4 linked regions of the Saccharomyces cerevisiae S288C genome follow. The gene in region 4 interacts genetically with the main gene of each other region. Each region holds a gene or a part of one and is shown on either strand. Other genes may lie near its edges.

What was found.
Region 1: mutations in TPA1 (region 4) and MGT1 together harm fitness more than expected from each alone (negative genetic interaction), as found in Saccharomyces cerevisiae (2 studies listed by BioGRID).
Region 2: mutations in TPA1 (region 4) and YDR249C together harm fitness more than expected from each alone (negative genetic interaction), as found in Saccharomyces cerevisiae (2 studies listed by BioGRID).
Region 3: mutations in TPA1 (region 4) and GYP7 together harm fitness less than expected from each alone (positive genetic interaction), as found in Saccharomyces cerevisiae (2 studies listed by BioGRID).

Annotation. Positions count from the first base shown.
Region 1 is NC_001136.10:99,796-102,923, reverse strand, and holds MGT1 (methylated-DNA--protein-cysteine methyltransferase), read left to right. Parts: upstream 1-1,856; coding exon 1,857-2,423; downstream 2,424-3,128. Other genes in the region: YDL199C (uncharacterized protein), read left to right, coding at 1-1,634; TRM8 (tRNA (guanine46-N7)-methyltransferase), read right to left, coding at 2,503-3,128. UniProt on the Saccharomyces cerevisiae protein: Involved in the cellular defense against the biological effects of O6-methylguanine (O6-MeG) and O4-methylthymine (O4-MeT) in DNA. Repairs the methylated nucleobase in DNA by stoichiometrically transferring the methyl group to a cysteine residue in the enzyme.
Region 2 is NC_001136.10:958,104-962,212, forward strand, and holds YDR249C (uncharacterized protein), read right to left. Parts: upstream 1,700-4,109; coding exon 578-1,699; downstream 1-577. Other genes in the region: YDR248C (gluconokinase), read right to left, coding at 1-236; PAM1 (Pam1p), read left to right, coding at 2,511-4,109.
Region 3 is NC_001136.10:33,213-38,319, forward strand, and holds GYP7 (GTPase-activating protein GYP7), read right to left. Parts: upstream 3,266-5,107; coding exon 1,025-3,265; downstream 1-1,024. Other genes in the region: PHO13 (4-nitrophenylphosphatase), read left to right, coding at 1-22; YPD1 (Ypd1p), read right to left, coding at 203-706; MFG1 (Mfg1p), read left to right, coding at 3,585-4,961. UniProt on the Saccharomyces cerevisiae protein: GTPase-activating protein (GAP) that most effectively accelerates the intrinsic GTPase activity of Ypt/Rab-type GTPase YPT7 involved in vacuole docking and fusion. It is also active, but to a lesser extent, on YPT31, YPT32, YPT1, YPT6 and SEC4.
Region 4 is NC_001137.3:249,635-254,528, forward strand, and holds TPA1 (oxidative DNA demethylase), read left to right. Parts: upstream 1-2,093; coding exon 2,094-4,028; downstream 4,029-4,894. Other genes in the region: ISD11 (Isd11p), read left to right, coding at 1,084-1,368; mitochondrial 37S ribosomal protein bS18m RSM18, read right to left, coding at 4,337-4,753. UniProt on the Saccharomyces cerevisiae protein: Prolyl 3,4-dihydroxylase that catalyzes 3,4-dihydroxylation of 'Pro-64' of small ribosomal subunit uS12 (RPS23A and RPS23B), thereby regulating protein translation termination efficiency.

The sequences.
Region 1 (3,128 bases), on a different chromosome or scaffold from region 4:
ACGTTATGACTTTGTCGTTCCAGAAGTATTTTCATTACCCACTTACTTCTCCGCTGGGCAATATAGTGAGCATTGTTAATCTGGGTGCGTTCATGGCGTCGTTATTTGTCTATTCTGGCATCCTGGAGCCTTGTAGCAGGAAAAAAATGCTCCAAATAAGCACAATGATATACTCTTTGGGTGCCATTGTTCAGGTCTTGGCTCTAAACCAATGGTGTTTACTACTGGGTAGATTCTTACTCGGAGTAGGTATGGGCTTTGCCTTTTCTATGGTAATAATTTATCAATTCGAGTTTCCCCTTCCCTGTATAAGAAAACGGACATTAATTTCCATTCAATGCGTCTCTAGTGTCATTGCGTATTCATTCGGAATATGGATTAATTGTGCTTTCAGATATTTGGGCTTTGCATGGAGATACCCTTTGTCAACACATGTGGCACTTGGAATAATACTAAACCTAATGTCGTTCTATCTTATTTTAGAGTCCCCTTCGTGGCTGTTGAAGCAAAAGAACGACGTAGAGGCATTGGTTTTAATATCGAATGTTTTCGATGATGGAAATTTCGAAGAAAACCAAACTCAGTTGAAATTTAGGGTCCTGAAACGAGACATATTATTAAAGTCACACCTTCAAAAAAACTCCTATCCATATGCGTATATCTTAAAGGATTTTTCTTCAATAATAAAATTGTTGATAGGTTTCCAACTTCTCACACGAACAAATGGAGTGGATGCTTTCTTGTATTACTCACCGTTAATATTACAACAAATGGGGAGAGGAGAAAGAAAATCTATCTATTTAACGGGGCTTAATGCTTTAATTTACAGCATCGTAATATTAGCATATGTTCCCTTGGTGTTACGGAAACGTAAAGAGAAAACGAATGTACTCTTAGGTTCGATTGTGATGTGTGCATTGCTATTTACCATATCTTTTACAGACTGGTTTCCCAAGAGCACAACGAGGTATATATCAATACTATTTGCTGTTTTTCTTTTTACGCACTTCATCAGTTGGGATTCTATAGGATGGGTTATGACCATTGAGCTTCTACCTCACTTGTCACAGGCCCCAGTGATACTACTAGTCTCAAACTTTTATTGGATTTTTAAGTGGTTCGTCAGCTTAATAACCCCTATACTTATTGACCGTCTGTCTTGGAAGTTTTATCTTATTCCATCTTTATCTTCCTTTATTTCCATTATATTTGTGCTGAAGATTTTTCCTATAGAAACCCGTGACGAAAGGTTAGATTCTGATGATGATTCTACCGGAAACGGTAGCGGTAACCATGATGATGTTTTTGACGATACCGGTTCTGAATTCTCCTCCTCACCATCTTTTTCCGCGTATCAGATAAACACTCTAGGAAGTAGTATCAAACAAAATAATCAAGCCTATTCATCTATTCAAAATGAGCAGATTCTACCCAAAAACGGAAACTTATCGAACCAGACACACGGTTCTGCACAAAATGTTTATTTCATTACATCTGATTCAGGACCATCAAGGACTGGAGAATTTTTCAGTTTTCATAACAGAACCGATCCAAATATCAGCGACAACATTGCTGCGAATAAACCCAGTTCAGGTGGAGGCCAGAATTCGCCTGGAGACATGGCAGTTGCCTAGTATGGCCTCATAAAAATATTTGCTTCATCCTAAGTATAAATGTTTAGTTTTATCCTACATACATATTCTTATTATAGTCATTAGAAAAAAGGCACGGCGCTATTGGCCTGGCAGGGCATTTAAAATGCGGTGGAAACAAGGAAGATTAATCAAGTAATGATATAGCATATGCACAAAAAAAAAATTGAAAACGGTCGCATTTTTGATCTAAATGGACCAACGATGAAGGAACTGCTTTACTATACATTCATTGAAACTGAAGTGACTGGTGCATTTTTGGTGTTTAGGGAAAAGACTCAAAACCTTGTTTTTGCCTCGTTAGGTAATGATAAGCTTTTTTTATTGGGAAAGGTGGAAGGCTTCTTGAAGAAACATGAGAAACAGGATACAATGTACGATTTACAGGAACTAAAAGAGGCAGAAACATATAAGAAATCAATCGAAAATTATACAATATGTTTAGAAAACAAAATGCCATTACCATCGGGCGCTATTCCCTTTGAGTTCCTGTTTGGAACAGATTTTCAACGTAAAGTTTGGAATGAGCTTTTAAACGTGGAACACGGCCACGTCGTAACATATGGTGATATTGCAAAGAGAATAGGGAAGCCAACTGCCGCAAGATCTGTCGGAAGAGCTTGCGGCTCAAATAACCTGGCATTGTTAGTACCTTGCCATAGAATCGTTGGTAGCAATAGAAAATTAACCGGATATAAATGGAGCTGTAAACTGAAAGAACAGTTATTAAATAATGAAAAGGAAAATAGCTTAAGCCTTAGTAGATTGTAGTTGGATAAAGGATTTTAGGAAAATAAACATAAGAAATAGTTATGTATATGTGGTAAATTGTTCTAGTTATACATCTATGTTACAATATGGCTGGCGTTGGTAATCTTGTGAAACAAGCGACGAACTTGTCACCCTTCTTTCTTTCCACTTTTTTACCTTCTTCTGTGGCATTTCTCATTATTTTCACACATTCATCGTTTTCTTCCCATTCTTTGCTCAACCGTTCAAATAAAGGATGCTCTTCTAAATGTTTTACCATCCACTCATGCAGGTCTTTGACGTCTGTAATTGTGTACACGACACCGCCCTCTTTCAAAACATATGCGTACTCACTCAGCAAGGTGTTAGTGATAATTCTTGCCTTATGCTTTCTTTGTTTGAAATGAGGATCGGGGAAACAAAAAAACATTTTAGAAAGCTGGCCCTTTTCAAAAAAGTTGGGCAAGAATTTCATAGCGTTACCTCTCAAGACATTAATGTTTTGAAATCCATGTTTTGAAGCTGTATTGTTCCTTAAGGCAATAATTCTATCCTCCACGTAATTTGTAACCTGCACACGAATTTCCATCCCTAAGATAAGATCTTCAGGGAAGGCTGGTGATAAATCTATCATCAACCCACCGAATCCACAGCCAATATCAGCAATCGTCACCTTCTTTGTCATTTGTCCATTTTCCGCGTTTTTGTAGTAAGGGTACAATTTGG
Region 2 (4,109 bases), on a different chromosome or scaffold from region 4:
ACGGCAACTTTTTTCAACCAGTCCCAACGGTCGTCGTCATTTAATGGAATCCCTCTTGTCATCTTTTCTACGTTGGCAGGCGGGTGTAAATCATCACCTTCGATGAATTTCAAATCCGGGTATATATCTTTAAATTCATGGATTAGTTCACCTGCAATGGTTGATTTTCCTGTACCTGCAGTACCTGCCAATACAATAACCTTAAATTTCCCCATAGTTTTGTGTTTCTCTGTCATCAACTGCGTTGTCCATCCATACGCTTACTGAGACACTATGAAAGCCTGTTTAGTCTTCGGAAAGCTATTTATTGCTTGCTACTTGAAAACCTTTTGATTATCGATATTTTTTAACGGGACCTTATATAATTATTGCTTGGAAACTAACGGTGTTATAATTTTTGACAAACTAATTAGCGACGTAATGAAAGCAGAAAAACCGCAAGAATATGAGAAAGGGAAAATATCAAAGAAAACAAAATATATTCCTTATATAACACCATCTTTTGTACATAAATGAATTGGCAAGCACATATTGTGCATGCATGCAAGGGGCAGAATCTTAATACTAAGTAATTTAATTATGCAAACATAACCCCGTATTGAGGCCTTCCGCCGCATTTAACGACCAAATCTATGAGTTTTAAATCAGACACCCGCCTTAACAGGTCCCATATAGTGCTATCAGATAAAAGTTCGTTTTCTGTCAATGATGGATTGTAATAATATTTCAGGATAAATTTCTCTATGAGCTGTAATCTTGATCTATTCTGCAAAAAAAACTCAAAGTTCAGACTCCCTAGTGAATCAGCATACGTGAAATATAATAAAAATATTACAGTCGTAAGGGGTTCAATAGACGCTAGTTTTTGCACTGTAGATCCAGAGACGTATAGGATTAAATCTATTGATTCAAATAGAGAAACAAAGGTAAACTTAGGGCTTAGGTCAGTTCCTTGCATATCAATACCTTGAAAAAACCATTCTATAAAAGGGGATATCACATCATATGGATTCTTCAAAGTAAAATGATTACCTAGAGACTTCACACATTCCCTACGTGTTAAAAAAATATGCATATTGTTGTAAAAGTTTTTAGGGAAGTCTTCTTTCGATGTATCTTCAGTGTTCATTGAACACAAGTCTAGCTCTTTAGATGTATCAAAATCGCCATTCTGCATATCTTGATAGTGCTTTCTGGGAAGAAAATGAGAAATATTTTTCAACAGGATAGGATGATGATCTAGTAGTAGTCTAAAAAAAGTTTCATGCTCAAATAATGTAGGGATCACAATATTTCTTGAATAAGCTTTTATATTACTTACGCCAAACTCCAGGGGATCGAAAAGATATTTTTCCCACATGATCTTCGATAATAATGAAAAAGATGGCTTCAAGCAACTATAGAAGAACCTGTTCAAGGTGACCATCGACGGTTCACCCTTTGTGAAAACGAAAATATGTTGAATAATCTCTACAGGTAAATCTTGCAAAGTTAGCTTTTGATGATGCCTAAGTTTCTTCGCAGGAAGCCTGATAGTCCTTTGATCTTCCGATATTGGCCTCTTGGATGAAACCCGGGTCTCTAAGAGATGCACATGGTGCTGCAAGTTTATCGAAGACGATGCATACCGATGCAAAGGAAGTGCATGTTTCTTTCTCTTATCATGACGGCTAGAATATCCTGTCAAAATATAACCCATGGCCACTTATTCTAAAAATACACTGCGTGAAAAAAGCACTGCTTACTTTAACAACATTAGTCCTCTTTAAATATATTTCATTACTCATCGCAAACTGAACAATTCTTGATGCTTAATTCTTACTAGCTGCAAAAAAGACAAGATGAAACGCGGTGTATGGTTGGACGATATAGTCTTATCCTAAATACACACAACATATATTGCGTAATAAAGAGATCTTCCTATCTATAGCACAATTTGAAGTTGAAAAGGCGTATCTAAAATGCTAATACTAAACAAGGCATCATGTTTTTGTCCCATTCACGTAGCACTGGCGATTTGCTTCCATATTCTTCTGTGTACAATAATAGCTTGGGTGGCTTTTTTCACAATGGGCTCTACGCGAAATTGTCGCAGCCCCCTGTTGGCCGTGCTGTGGGCCATTCTCGAGACTAGAATGAAACAGAAATCTACAAACATGAAAAGGTAGAGTAAAGTCGAGTAAGTAGTAGAAAAGAAAAGTGATATTGGCATACACGATAGCGAAGTTGTTCATATCTATTATCACCAGGCCATTCATTAAAAACTTACCGCTAAATTGAAAAAGAGGCGACTGCCAACATACTTGCCCTTTTTTTTTTCGCTATTATTAGTGTCCTTTGATTACAAACTACATCCATTCGAAAAGCTTGTAACCAACACTAAAGTCTGTGATTCTACCCAAATATTTGCTCTCCGTCATTTCTATTCTGTTTGAACTACTGTGCATATATTTTTCTTTTTGTTTCCTACATTTTATTCCCGGCATATCTCGCGATAGGTATATTGAATAATGACATCTGCATTAAGGGTTTTGGTATGCGGAGATCACCCAAATCTCATTCTGTACACATCCAGGTTTCAACATGCCAAAAATATAGAATTTTATCTTGTGAACAACTCAAAAAATGCCAACTACGAGGTTAGTTCACTATTTTATGGGACGGAACGGTTTCAGATTCAAAACCATTTCCAATCGCTCCTAGATTTAGTAGACCTTAATAATGAAAATGGTGGCTTGGTATTCGACTTGATAATAATGAGTGCGTCTTCACTGCAAGAAATCCCGCAGGTATTGAGAGATATAAAACCTATGATGAATAAGACAACAAAGATACTATTTGAAAGTAGCGGGTTTATATATTTGGAGCCATTCATCAAGGCTTCAGTTGATCTTTCGCTGTCAAATATTTTCAGCATTTTCACCGATTATGACATAAGACGGTTGGACAATGGCTCATACAAACAGTTCACGACTGCAAATGCCAAATCCTTTTCTGTTTCGATCGGTCAAACGACATCCGTTCACGAAAACAGCTATTCAAGTGATATTATTCCTATTTTGAATACATTTCAGAAATTGTTCCAAAAACTGTTTCCTAGGGACGTTGTGACTCTTTACGATCATTCTCCCTCCGCTTTCTTGGCAAAAGAATGGGAACTAGCTTTGCCTCAAATATGTTTCGATCCATTATTAATAATATTAGAAGAGAAGAATCCATCAACCTTGGATGACCACGTTTTGGCCAAACCTCTTATTTCAGGTTTACTAGGCGAGAGCTTATTAATAATAAAAAAAATGGGTATAGCCATGAACAATCCAAATTTTCAAAATGAACAGACTATATTGAAACATTGGAAGAATAAGTGCGAAGACTTACCTGATGGGCCGGCACTTTTATATAATTTCATCCATAAGGCTTCATCTTTGAATATTGACTTATTGTTATTACAGCCGATATTATTAGCAGATGACTTTGGCGTGAAGACACCATATTTAGAATGTTTGTTTACAATGATGACTCAATATCAATTGTTAAATAAAGGTGATTCTGAATGGTTTATTAGAAAGGATGAGAACACAGCGTTAACTCGCGTTGATGATTTACAAAACAGTATCGCACTTAAAGATGGAAAAATCATGCAGCTGCAAAATTCGGAATCAACCCTGAAAAATGAGATAAAAGAACTTCAAAGTCAAGTTTTGAGCTTAAAACAAGAAGTGTCCTCAAGTAAAGCAAATAATGGACAAGAGTTGGAAATTTTAAAGAAGAAAGTGCAAATGGGAGACAATTCATTATTTGATCGCCCAAATAGTAATACTAATGGTATATCTCCCTCTGATAACATTGTTGATGTTGATTTAAATTACGAAAGGAGTGACCAAGGTAATAATAGTAGTGGTAATGATAGCAGAAGACAATCTTTTTTCAACTCCACATCTGATACAACATTATCCAGAGATGAAACCTCGTTGAAAGAGCGTGAGTTAGAAGTACGAATGAAGGAATTAGAACTTCAAGAGCGTGAGTTAGAGTTACAGAGAAAAGCCCTCCAGCAACAACAACAATATCAACAGAGACCGCCTAAGCAAGTATACTCCGGTCCTTCT
Region 3 (5,107 bases), on a different chromosome or scaffold from region 4:
CTTAACCAATAATGAGTTATAGAGGAGCAATGCAAAATCTAGGGGTAGAATTACTTTTTGAAAAGGAAAAATATTCAGGTTTGTTGTTTTTATGTAAGTTGTATGATTTGATATACATATATATATATATATAATATATATTGTACATGTGTTTTTCCGGGGAAGAATGGATTATCCGGAGGTGTGAATAAAATGATGACGATTATAGGTTTGTGTTGTAATATTTAGATAACTCAATTCTCGCCAGTTTGAACTCCAACCTAGACTGGTTCAAAGCTTTTGCTATCAAGATGAGATATATGGAATTTTCGTCTTTATCGTCCACTTGTATCTTTATTTCCTCGTCATCTTCATCAATATTGATTCCATTAATAATCGATTTATCGCTCAGAGTGTTGACCAATTCGGTCTTGTTGGGGAAGAAATGTTCCATTTTTCTTCCCAAGTTTTGAATTCTTTCACAAACCCAGGCAATTCTTTGTAAGCCTAATGCAGCAGAAGAACCCTTTAAAAAATGGCCCAGATTGTCTAATTCGGTAAGATTTTTTTCACCGTCCAGCTGTCGTTGCATTTGAGCAAAAGTTGTTTGTGCCTGGTCGATAAATTGAATAATTAGACCTTTAGAAAAATCGGAATCATCGTCATCCATAGATATAATTTCATTTAAGATGGTCCAATTGATGATTTCTGAGGGAATAGTAGACATTATTGTGTGTATTTTCTTGTTTCCGAGAACGAGTGTTGTTATTTCTTTTGAATTTTTCAAAGAAATAAAACTATTACACGTCAGTGGTTATCAATGATCCAGAGCACAACTATCGACCAACCCAACCGGTTTAGAAATTAAAAACAATAATGTTCCTAAATATAGGTTCAATTAAATTTGATAAAAATATTAAACTTTTTATGTAATTTTTCTTCAGTTTTTCCGTTTCGGGCGGGTTACGGATGTATTGATGATTATGTGGCATAAACGAATTATATCTCCGGTATTCAATATGTAAAGTTCCGTTTCTATTTACCACTATTTAACGGAATTTTTGCTCCTTTGCCCTTCATGTCTTATGATAGGTTTTTTAGAAAGAAGCAGGGTCAACCTCTCGCTCTGACAAGGCAATACGCCGGTAGAGGATGAGGATGAAGAGGAGGATACGTTTTGTAAATCTCTTTCCATGACGTGCATCATTTTCTCAAACTTCTTGAACAAAAGCTCTGCTCTAACCATTAGGTCATTCCAATCCAACTTCCCGTTAAGTTCATTAAAAAATTTTAATATTTGGTCGAACTGATTTAGATGTTGTAAAATAGCTTGTGAGTTTTTCTGTAGAATGGCCAACATGAAGAATAATTGGAATTGTGAACTGTAGTAGAAAGTCCAGAAATTCTCCCAAATGTGCATAATATCTTCCATTTCAAATTCTCTCTTGAACCATACTAGAAGCATTCGAAAGCAAAAGAACAAGTTTCCTGAATCACACTTGTTTAAATGTTCGCTCAATTCGGGTAGCATTAATTGTACCAATTCCACGAGAGTTAACATTTGTTCATGGATGCCACTCTGGTCTCTTAGAAAATTTCTTTCCATAATGTCCATGAAGTGCGTAAAACACCAAAACGTTTTCCATTCTTCCTTCATGATGACATAAATAGGCGATAAAAGATCGGTCATCCCCTGCACGTAGCCTAAGTTTGTGTTGTAGACATTATAAGTGATAAGAATGTTTTGTAAATGTATCAAATGTGGGTTCCTGACTCCATCGTCTGCATCATCGCTCTCGTCATTAGCGGATTCGGGGCTGGTACTGTTATTTTCATTTGCTGGGAGTTGTTGTGGCGGTGGTGGTAATCCATCGATGGTATTGTATTGAAATATCTCCAAGTTTCTATCACAGCGTCTCACATCTTTAGATATTCTGAATAATTGATCGTTCCAATATTCCTCTTCATCTTCATCGTCAAATTGTAAAAAATCTTTTGACCAGGTTAGTTTCAATTGATCGTATTCCGCGGCTAAAGTTTGATCGATTTGTACCCTCTCGTCTTGAGAAGAATCCCACGGATATATTTCTAAGAGAAAACCCCAAACTTTCCCTCGCAAACTGTCATTTTCTAACCCACCATGAAATATGAAATCCTTAACTTCGTTTACCGTGACCCTCAGCCTCCCATCGTTCTCATCCCATAGCGAATTCCATTTCGCTTCCGTTAAAGGAAATTGTCTTTGCAGAGCATTATTTATTTCAGTATCACTTAATTCATCAGTTAGATTCAGGTCGTTGAAAATGTTATTCCTATACGAATCAAAGAGTTTGTTCTGCTTTTGATACCTCTCAGCTTCCTGTTTTACTCCTAATGACCAGTTTGCCAAATACACTCTTGCAGAGTCATAATCCTGTTCAATTTGTTTAACCTTCTCATTGTTCAGAAGCTTTTGCAAGTATTCATTGTCGATTTGTGATTTTTGTATGGGTGAGTTGTTAGTCAGCCAACTATCGATAAAATTGGTAGACTTGGTAGTCACGTCTGCTATCTTGCTCATTACGTTCCATTTCCATTCTTGGAATTTCTCGTTTAGTTTCACACCGGCGGTAGCGAGTTCAGTTGTATCTTTCTTCGAATTGTTATAACTTTCCAATAGATCCTTGGAAACGAAATTTCTCAAATCATTCAAAGAGGGATTTACTAACCAAAACTCTGGCTCTAAGTTTGATTTCTTGAGTTCCATCAGTTCGTTGATTTTGTTTCTCAAATCTACGCCACCCCAATACAATTCGTCCGAGTCATCAAATGGGTTCATGGATTTGCGTAGTCTTTTTAACTTGTCCGTAGTTGATGGGCAGAGTTGGTCATGAAAGAACAAGACAGGAGGTTGAAAGCCCGTAAACTGTTCTGTCAAGGGATATATTACCAGAGATCCGACATACCAACCATTTGGACTAGGAGGCCTAAATTGGATGCAGTATATTTGTGAGAGAGAAATTTCGAAAGCTTGACCTAAAGAAGTATTGACCAGGTTACTAAAGTTTATTGAATTTTCAATAACAAATGGTGTAGAAGTTGGACATGTGCCCACTTTAGCTTCATGTTTTAGTAGTTTTGATATCTCTAATGTGGATAAGCCAGATTCTGGGATATATTGGAGAATTGCTTGGTGGGATAGCTTATTCGCTTCCAATGTGAGTAGCAGGAAACCAGCAATATTATCTCTAGCATCGCTTGTTGGGTGTAAGAACACTTTAGATTTGCAGAATAGTATCTTACTCATCAGGGGATGTATGAATGACTCTTGTAGAACTTTGCCAATTTGTGCAACCTATATCTGAGAAACTGAATAGTATATTTGAGCACGATAAATTGATTTATATCTGACCAATTTATGGAAAGTTCTTAACTATTTCTTGCAAATGCGCCTCTCTTTATATAGAGCAGAACTTTGCCCCATATAGTATTGTTTAAGCCTCTCGGATTTCTTTTCTCATCTTGTGGGGCTTCCCGCCTGAACTAAAAATATTAACTATGGAGCAATAAAGACAACACTTGACACTGTTCATGGGGCAGAAGGAAAAGCAAAGATTATCTGCAATATGTACCAAGGCCCACCGCAACCGCCTCCTCAAGCTGTGCCGATGCCTTACATTGTGAATAATAACACACCACCGTACCCAAATGGTAATATTAACTTTCCTCCCACCGCGCAGCAGAATATACCGCCCACGGTTTATCCACAACAAGTGCCATTTCCAGGTCAACCACAGGGGGGTCAATTTCCACAGCCTTCATCAGAACAGCAGGTGTTTAACCAGCTTCCACAAGTGACTCAAACTTTTCACAACTCTGCGCAGAATACGAATGCAACTGGGGGCCCTGGCAGCGGGTCTATGCCAATGTTTACGCCGGTAGCATCCTTTCCCCATCCCATGGCTACAGCAGCAACGGCAGCTGCTCCGTTACCACGGTCTGCATCCCAGGCATCTTTATCTATGTTACGGGTGCCGTATCATGTAAGAAAATACTTATCTAATTTGGCGATGTTGAAATTGTACGAAATAATAAATGAGGTGAATACGGCAATGGGTAAGATTGGCCTGCTTTCATTCTGGACAGAATTAATATCAGATATTTTTACACCTGATGCAGTTATAAGGTATAGTAAAAAGTCTATGACAGATTATAGAGAATTCGAATTTATCATCCCAGTGTTCCCAGTTATTTGCTCTACATTAGGCAGATTTGGCATCGTTAGAATGGAAGTTAAGGTTTTACAATTGAAAACACAAGTTCTAAGTAATTCTACGATTTTTTTCAACTGTCCTCGTGTCACATTTGTCTATTATTATCCTGATGGTTCATATATTACACATTTTTCCCAAATGAAAGGTGCTTTCGATTTGGACTTGAAAATTAATTGGCTGGACGTATCTATGCATAGTTTTGTCCCTGATATTGAATGGAATGCAGTGGAACGGCTTTTGAGTGATGACACAAAGTCTACAGAAATTGAACAAATATTCCGTAAATTGAAACAAGAAGATGTCAAAGAGCAAGGGAATTCTTTTGCAGAAAATAATGCTACGAATGTTCCTCCGAATTTTGAGGCCATCACTCAGCTGAGATCATATTTTGACGTATTCAGAAACGTCTCTGTGTTTGGCACTCAAGAAGGGTTGATGAGAGTCATGCAAATAAGTACCGTTATGTCTACTTTGAAAAACCTTCGAAAGTTTCAAATTGAAAAGAACATTGATAGTCCCGTGACCGCCCTAAGTGCGTACATTGACGCCGACAAGAAGGACAGTGGAAGCGAGCCCTTGCACGCAAAGAGGCGACGCAACAGCGGTATCTCTCCTCGCACCACGACGTTGGGGCCAAACGGCAACTCCAATACAAGCAATGAAGAGCTTCCAACAAGTGATGTGAATGATATTAACAAAGACATGACAAAAAAGAAGATGAAGTTTTAAAGAAGGTAATTACCTAACGTCACCCACTGAAATATTAAGAGAATTGCATGAATCTAGCAGAATGGGAATGTGACATGGTAGCAGCAACCGCAAGGTGTGGCATAGATTATAGTAGTGACAAAACTGTACAATTACTATATAGTGAG
Region 4 (4,894 bases):
CATTTTGAGGATTCCTATATTCTTGGGGAGAACTTCTACTATATTCTGTATACATGATATAATAGCCTCTCCCAACAATGGAATGCCAACAATTATCGAATTATTCACCAGTTTCTCAGGTATACCTTGTATACCTAATATCTTGTATACCTGATATCATAATGTTCAATAACAGTAAAGTGCTAATAATTATGTATTTTTTTGCCGATTTTTCAATATTTCACCTGTTTATCGGTGTCAAAGTACTACGTTTAGTTTACTGTAGGGTTAGTTGATTTTTTTACGGCTAAATTTATGTTGTATTACGGGCTCGAGTAATACCGGAGTGTCTTGACAATCCTAATATAAACAGTCTTAGGGAAGTAACCAGTTGTCAAAACAGTTTATCAGATTAATTCACGGAATGTTACTTATCTTATATATTATATAAAATATGAATCATATTAAGTGGTGGAAGCGCGGAATCTCGGATCTAAACTAATTGTTCAGGCATTTATACGTTTGGGTAGTTCAGCTAGGGAAGGCCGGGTTTTATCTCATGTTGTTCGTTTTGTTATAAGGTTGTTTCATCTGTGTTTTATGAACGTTTAGGATGACGTATTGTCATACTGACGTATCTCATTTTGAGATACAACAATTTACAGTTGTACTGGTCCTATAGTGTAGTGGTTATCACTTTCGGTTTTGATCCGGACAACCCCGGTTCGAATCCGGGTAGGACCTTTTTTATTCATTTTTACATAATATATGCTGAATATATTGGTTAAAGAGGTTTTTTTAGTTCCCAAATGTCCACAGTAAAGTAGATAAAGCAATAGCTATTTCCATCAAATCCAAACAATATTGTATTACCCACTTATTATTAAACAATGCATTTATTGGAGAAACACCCGCTTTCCGGGTAATAGCAGTCTATTTATTCTCATTCATTTATAAGCGGCGGAGAAAAATGATTGAGGAATTGATATAATTACACAGTAACTTTACGGAGCCTAAGGTAACAAGTGAAGTTTGGATAGCAGTTTTATTCCCATTTTTATCTGCAGTATAGGGAACTTGGAATCACCTTTTGAAAGAAGAGAAATGCCTGGATTTACAGCTCCAACAAGAAGGCAGGTGTTGTCTTTATACAAGGAATTCATCAAGAATGCTAATCAATTCAATAATTACAACTTCAGGGAATACTTTTTAAGTAAAACAAGGACTACTTTCAGAAAGAACATGAATCAGCAAGACCCAAAAGTGTTAATGAACCTATTTAAGGAAGCTAAGAACGACTTAGGTGTCTTGAAAAGACAGTCTGTTATTTCTCAGATGTACACATTTGACAGGCTGGTCGTAGAACCATTGCAAGGAAGAAAACACTAAAACCTGGCCTAACTGGTCATTGCATGTAAGAAAGAACTTTCCAGTAATTTTTTCCTTCTCACGTCAGGAAATTCGTATGGTTATATCTTATAGAGAGGTGGCCGCCTTTAATTTGGAAAAGATATTATTAGATGATATTCCTAATTTTCGACCGATACTTTGCATGGTTGGACTTCAATTAGATCATGTAATTTACTTCCTTAATATCAATAGCATTTCTTTTTTGGTAGAAGATTTTTCTTTTCTTTTCTTTTCTTCAACCCACATGGGACTATAAGAGGAGAGTTTATAGCTTGTATATAAAACGCTATAACTAAAACATAAGCCCACTCTGAGGTGAGATGTCTTTACGGTATGATAACAAGCTGATGCAATGAGAGATCCTATGAATTGCTTGGATTCTTTTACATCAGGCATAAAGTTTCCGAAGTATGCAATAAAATGAGTATTTGCTTATTTATTGTTTGTATCGGGCGATCTTACACCTACTTTATGTGCGTAATAGTTGCATCTTCTTTTTTCGGACCATTCCATCGGATAAACTTCTTAGGTAAAAGTGAAAAAAAAAAAAAATTCGCTTATATATTAATCAAGTCATCACTTGGAAGCCGTTCTCTTCCGTTTACAACACGAAGAGCCAACTGTTTTCTTGTGTCATTCTTTAGCACTCTTTCTTTTTATTTTTACATTTTTTAATTAAGATCACCAAATATACCGGGAATATAATGAAGAGAAAAACTGCTGAAGTTAAAGGTGAGAAGGAGAGAAATTCCAAACAAATTTCCCTCGAAGAGGACAAGATAAAGGGTATGTTCAACCCTAAAATCTGGGACAAGACTTTCCAGGATGGCTTGAAAAAGGAAATTGAAGACTCTCAGCCTTACAACTGGGGTACTATTCATGAATTGGTTAATGACGATCTTCTACGTGCTGTTCGTAAAGAAATAGAAACTGAGATCCATTTCACTAAAAAAGAAACCGATATCTATAGAGTCAACCAAAGTGGTGACTTGGCCAATTTGTCTGGTCTGGACTGGGATGACTTGTCCCGTTTGCCTAATTTGTTCAAGCTGCGCCAGATTCTGTATTCCAAGCAATATCGAGATTTTTTTGGCTACGTCACCAAAGCTGGTAAATTGTCTGGTTCTAAGACCGACATGAGCATCAACACTTACACAAAGGGATGTCACTTGTTGACTCATGATGACGTTATTGGCTCTAGAAGGATTAGTTTCATTTTATACCTACCAGATCCCGACAGAAAATGGAAATCGCATTATGGTGGTGGTCTAAGACTTTTTCCAAGTATTTTACCAAACGTTCCACATTCCGATCCATCTGCTAAACTAGTTCCACAGTTCAATCAAATTGCTTTTTTCAAAGTTTTACCGGGTTTCTCTTTCCACGATGTCGAAGAAGTCAAAGTTGATAAGCACAGATTATCTATTCAAGGATGGTACCATATTCCACAAGTTGGCGAAGAAGGTTACATACCTGGTGAAGAAGAAGCGTGGGTCCGTAACAACACATCCACTTTGGCGCAGATTGAATCTAATGTCCTAGAAGATTTTGAATTTCCAAAGGACGAGAGAAATATTTTATCATTTCATGAAGTGAAGCACTTTGAAAAAATGCTCAAGGGCGATGCTGGCGCAAAAACTGATAACACACCTAAAGAATCTATGACTAGTGTGATTTCTGATTCGGTTAAGTTGTCTGAAGCCGAGTTCACCTATCTATCTCAATACATCTCTCCTGAACATTTAAGCTCGAAAGGTATCGAAAAACTACAAAAGCAGTTTGTTGAGAACTCTTCTCTACAAATTGAGTCGTTTTTAAATGACGATAAATCAGAATTGTTAAAGAAGGTTATCAAACAAAAAGAGTTGGAACAGGAATGTCCTTATCATTCAAAAGATGTGAAAGCTCCGTGGAAAACGGCTATTCCTCCACACAAAGCCCGTTATTTGTACATCGACGGTAAGGAATACCGTAATTTCCAAACAGAAGCTGATATTCTTGAGGCGCTGAATAACAATGATTTGCCAAACTTTCAGTTTACTAAGGACGCAATTAAAATTATCTCCGATGCTTCCGGAAATAGTAGGGAAAACAATTTTGATGCAGAATTAGCGTTGATTGACCTAGCTGTATTTCACAAGAGCACAATTTTCAAGAAATACCTAGCTCTTCTAACTTCTTTGTGCCCAGTCAGTGAGCAAATCCTTATTAGAAGGTTTAGGCCAGGAATGGATTTCACATTGGCCACCAAATGTCGCTTTAATGAACTTTTGAAAAGCAATCCAGATATAATCGATGCTGTCTTGGAAGGTACTTTGTGCTTGACACCTTCTGCCGGTTGGGAATCCGGAGAGCTTGGTGGTTACGAATTGTACATGATGGACGACGACGAAGATAATAAGCAATACTTAAAGGAAGACGTTGAAGACGCTTCTGTTTATCGTGCGGATGACAGTGGTGATTCAGTATTGATTAATGATCCACCTGCTTGGAATACTTTCAATTTGGTCTTGAGAGATGAAAGTGTTTTGGAGTTTGTTAAGTACGTCAGCTGGAGCGCTAAATCTAGTAGATGGGATGTCAAAATGAAGTGGGATGTCAAATCATGTGATGAAGATGGTCAGGAAGATGAAGCGTAAACAATTAACCCGTCTTATTAAGTAAATGGCAGCTTAGATATTTATAAAGTTGTATAATAGAAGTAATAAAATTATTTGAAAAGTTATTCGTCAATTTCAGCTTATTCCTCTGGCGTGAATATCATTACCATAATCCAAATTCGAGTAAGCGAATAAAACGGGTATATTAAAGAAATATAAGAATGAATATAAGTTTAACTTAAGATCTAATTGCGATTCTTTTTACATATTGTATATTTACAGACAGAACTATGAAATGCCTTATTTTCTTAATTATTTCATGTGGAGAAGCATTAGTGTAGTACAGTTCACATTAATCCTATTGCCTGGCACCGTCTAATGGCTTTCGATAGTCTTCTTTGATTCTTTGCCGATAAGCCTGTGATATCCCTATGTTGGATTCTTCCCGTGGAGGTCACATATCTTGAAAGTATTCTTGGTCTTGCATAAAATTCTAGTGGATTTGCACCGGACTTCATTATATCGTTCCTGTTTGAGTTCTTGTTTGCCTGATATTTTCTATCTAAATGGATTCGTCCCATAGAGAAGTCAAATGGATCGTAGATAGTACCTTTGGGAAGTTTTTTGGACAAAGACTGATCGATTTTCTTTGTTTGTTGCGTTCTCCCCATTTCAATATTGACACTCTTCTTTTCTTTGATACCGAAATTGTATAGAGCACGTTTAAATGTGGAGCTTACTGCTCCCTTGATGATAGGTTGCATACCGTTTTGAATTTTTATGCCTGTGGTGGCATTCATCTTGAACATCCGAAGTTTTGTGTAGAACCTTGCCTTTTTGGTTAGAACTGTAACACTGTTAATAATGGACTCATATTTAAGTATGTAAAGTAATCCTAGATATTT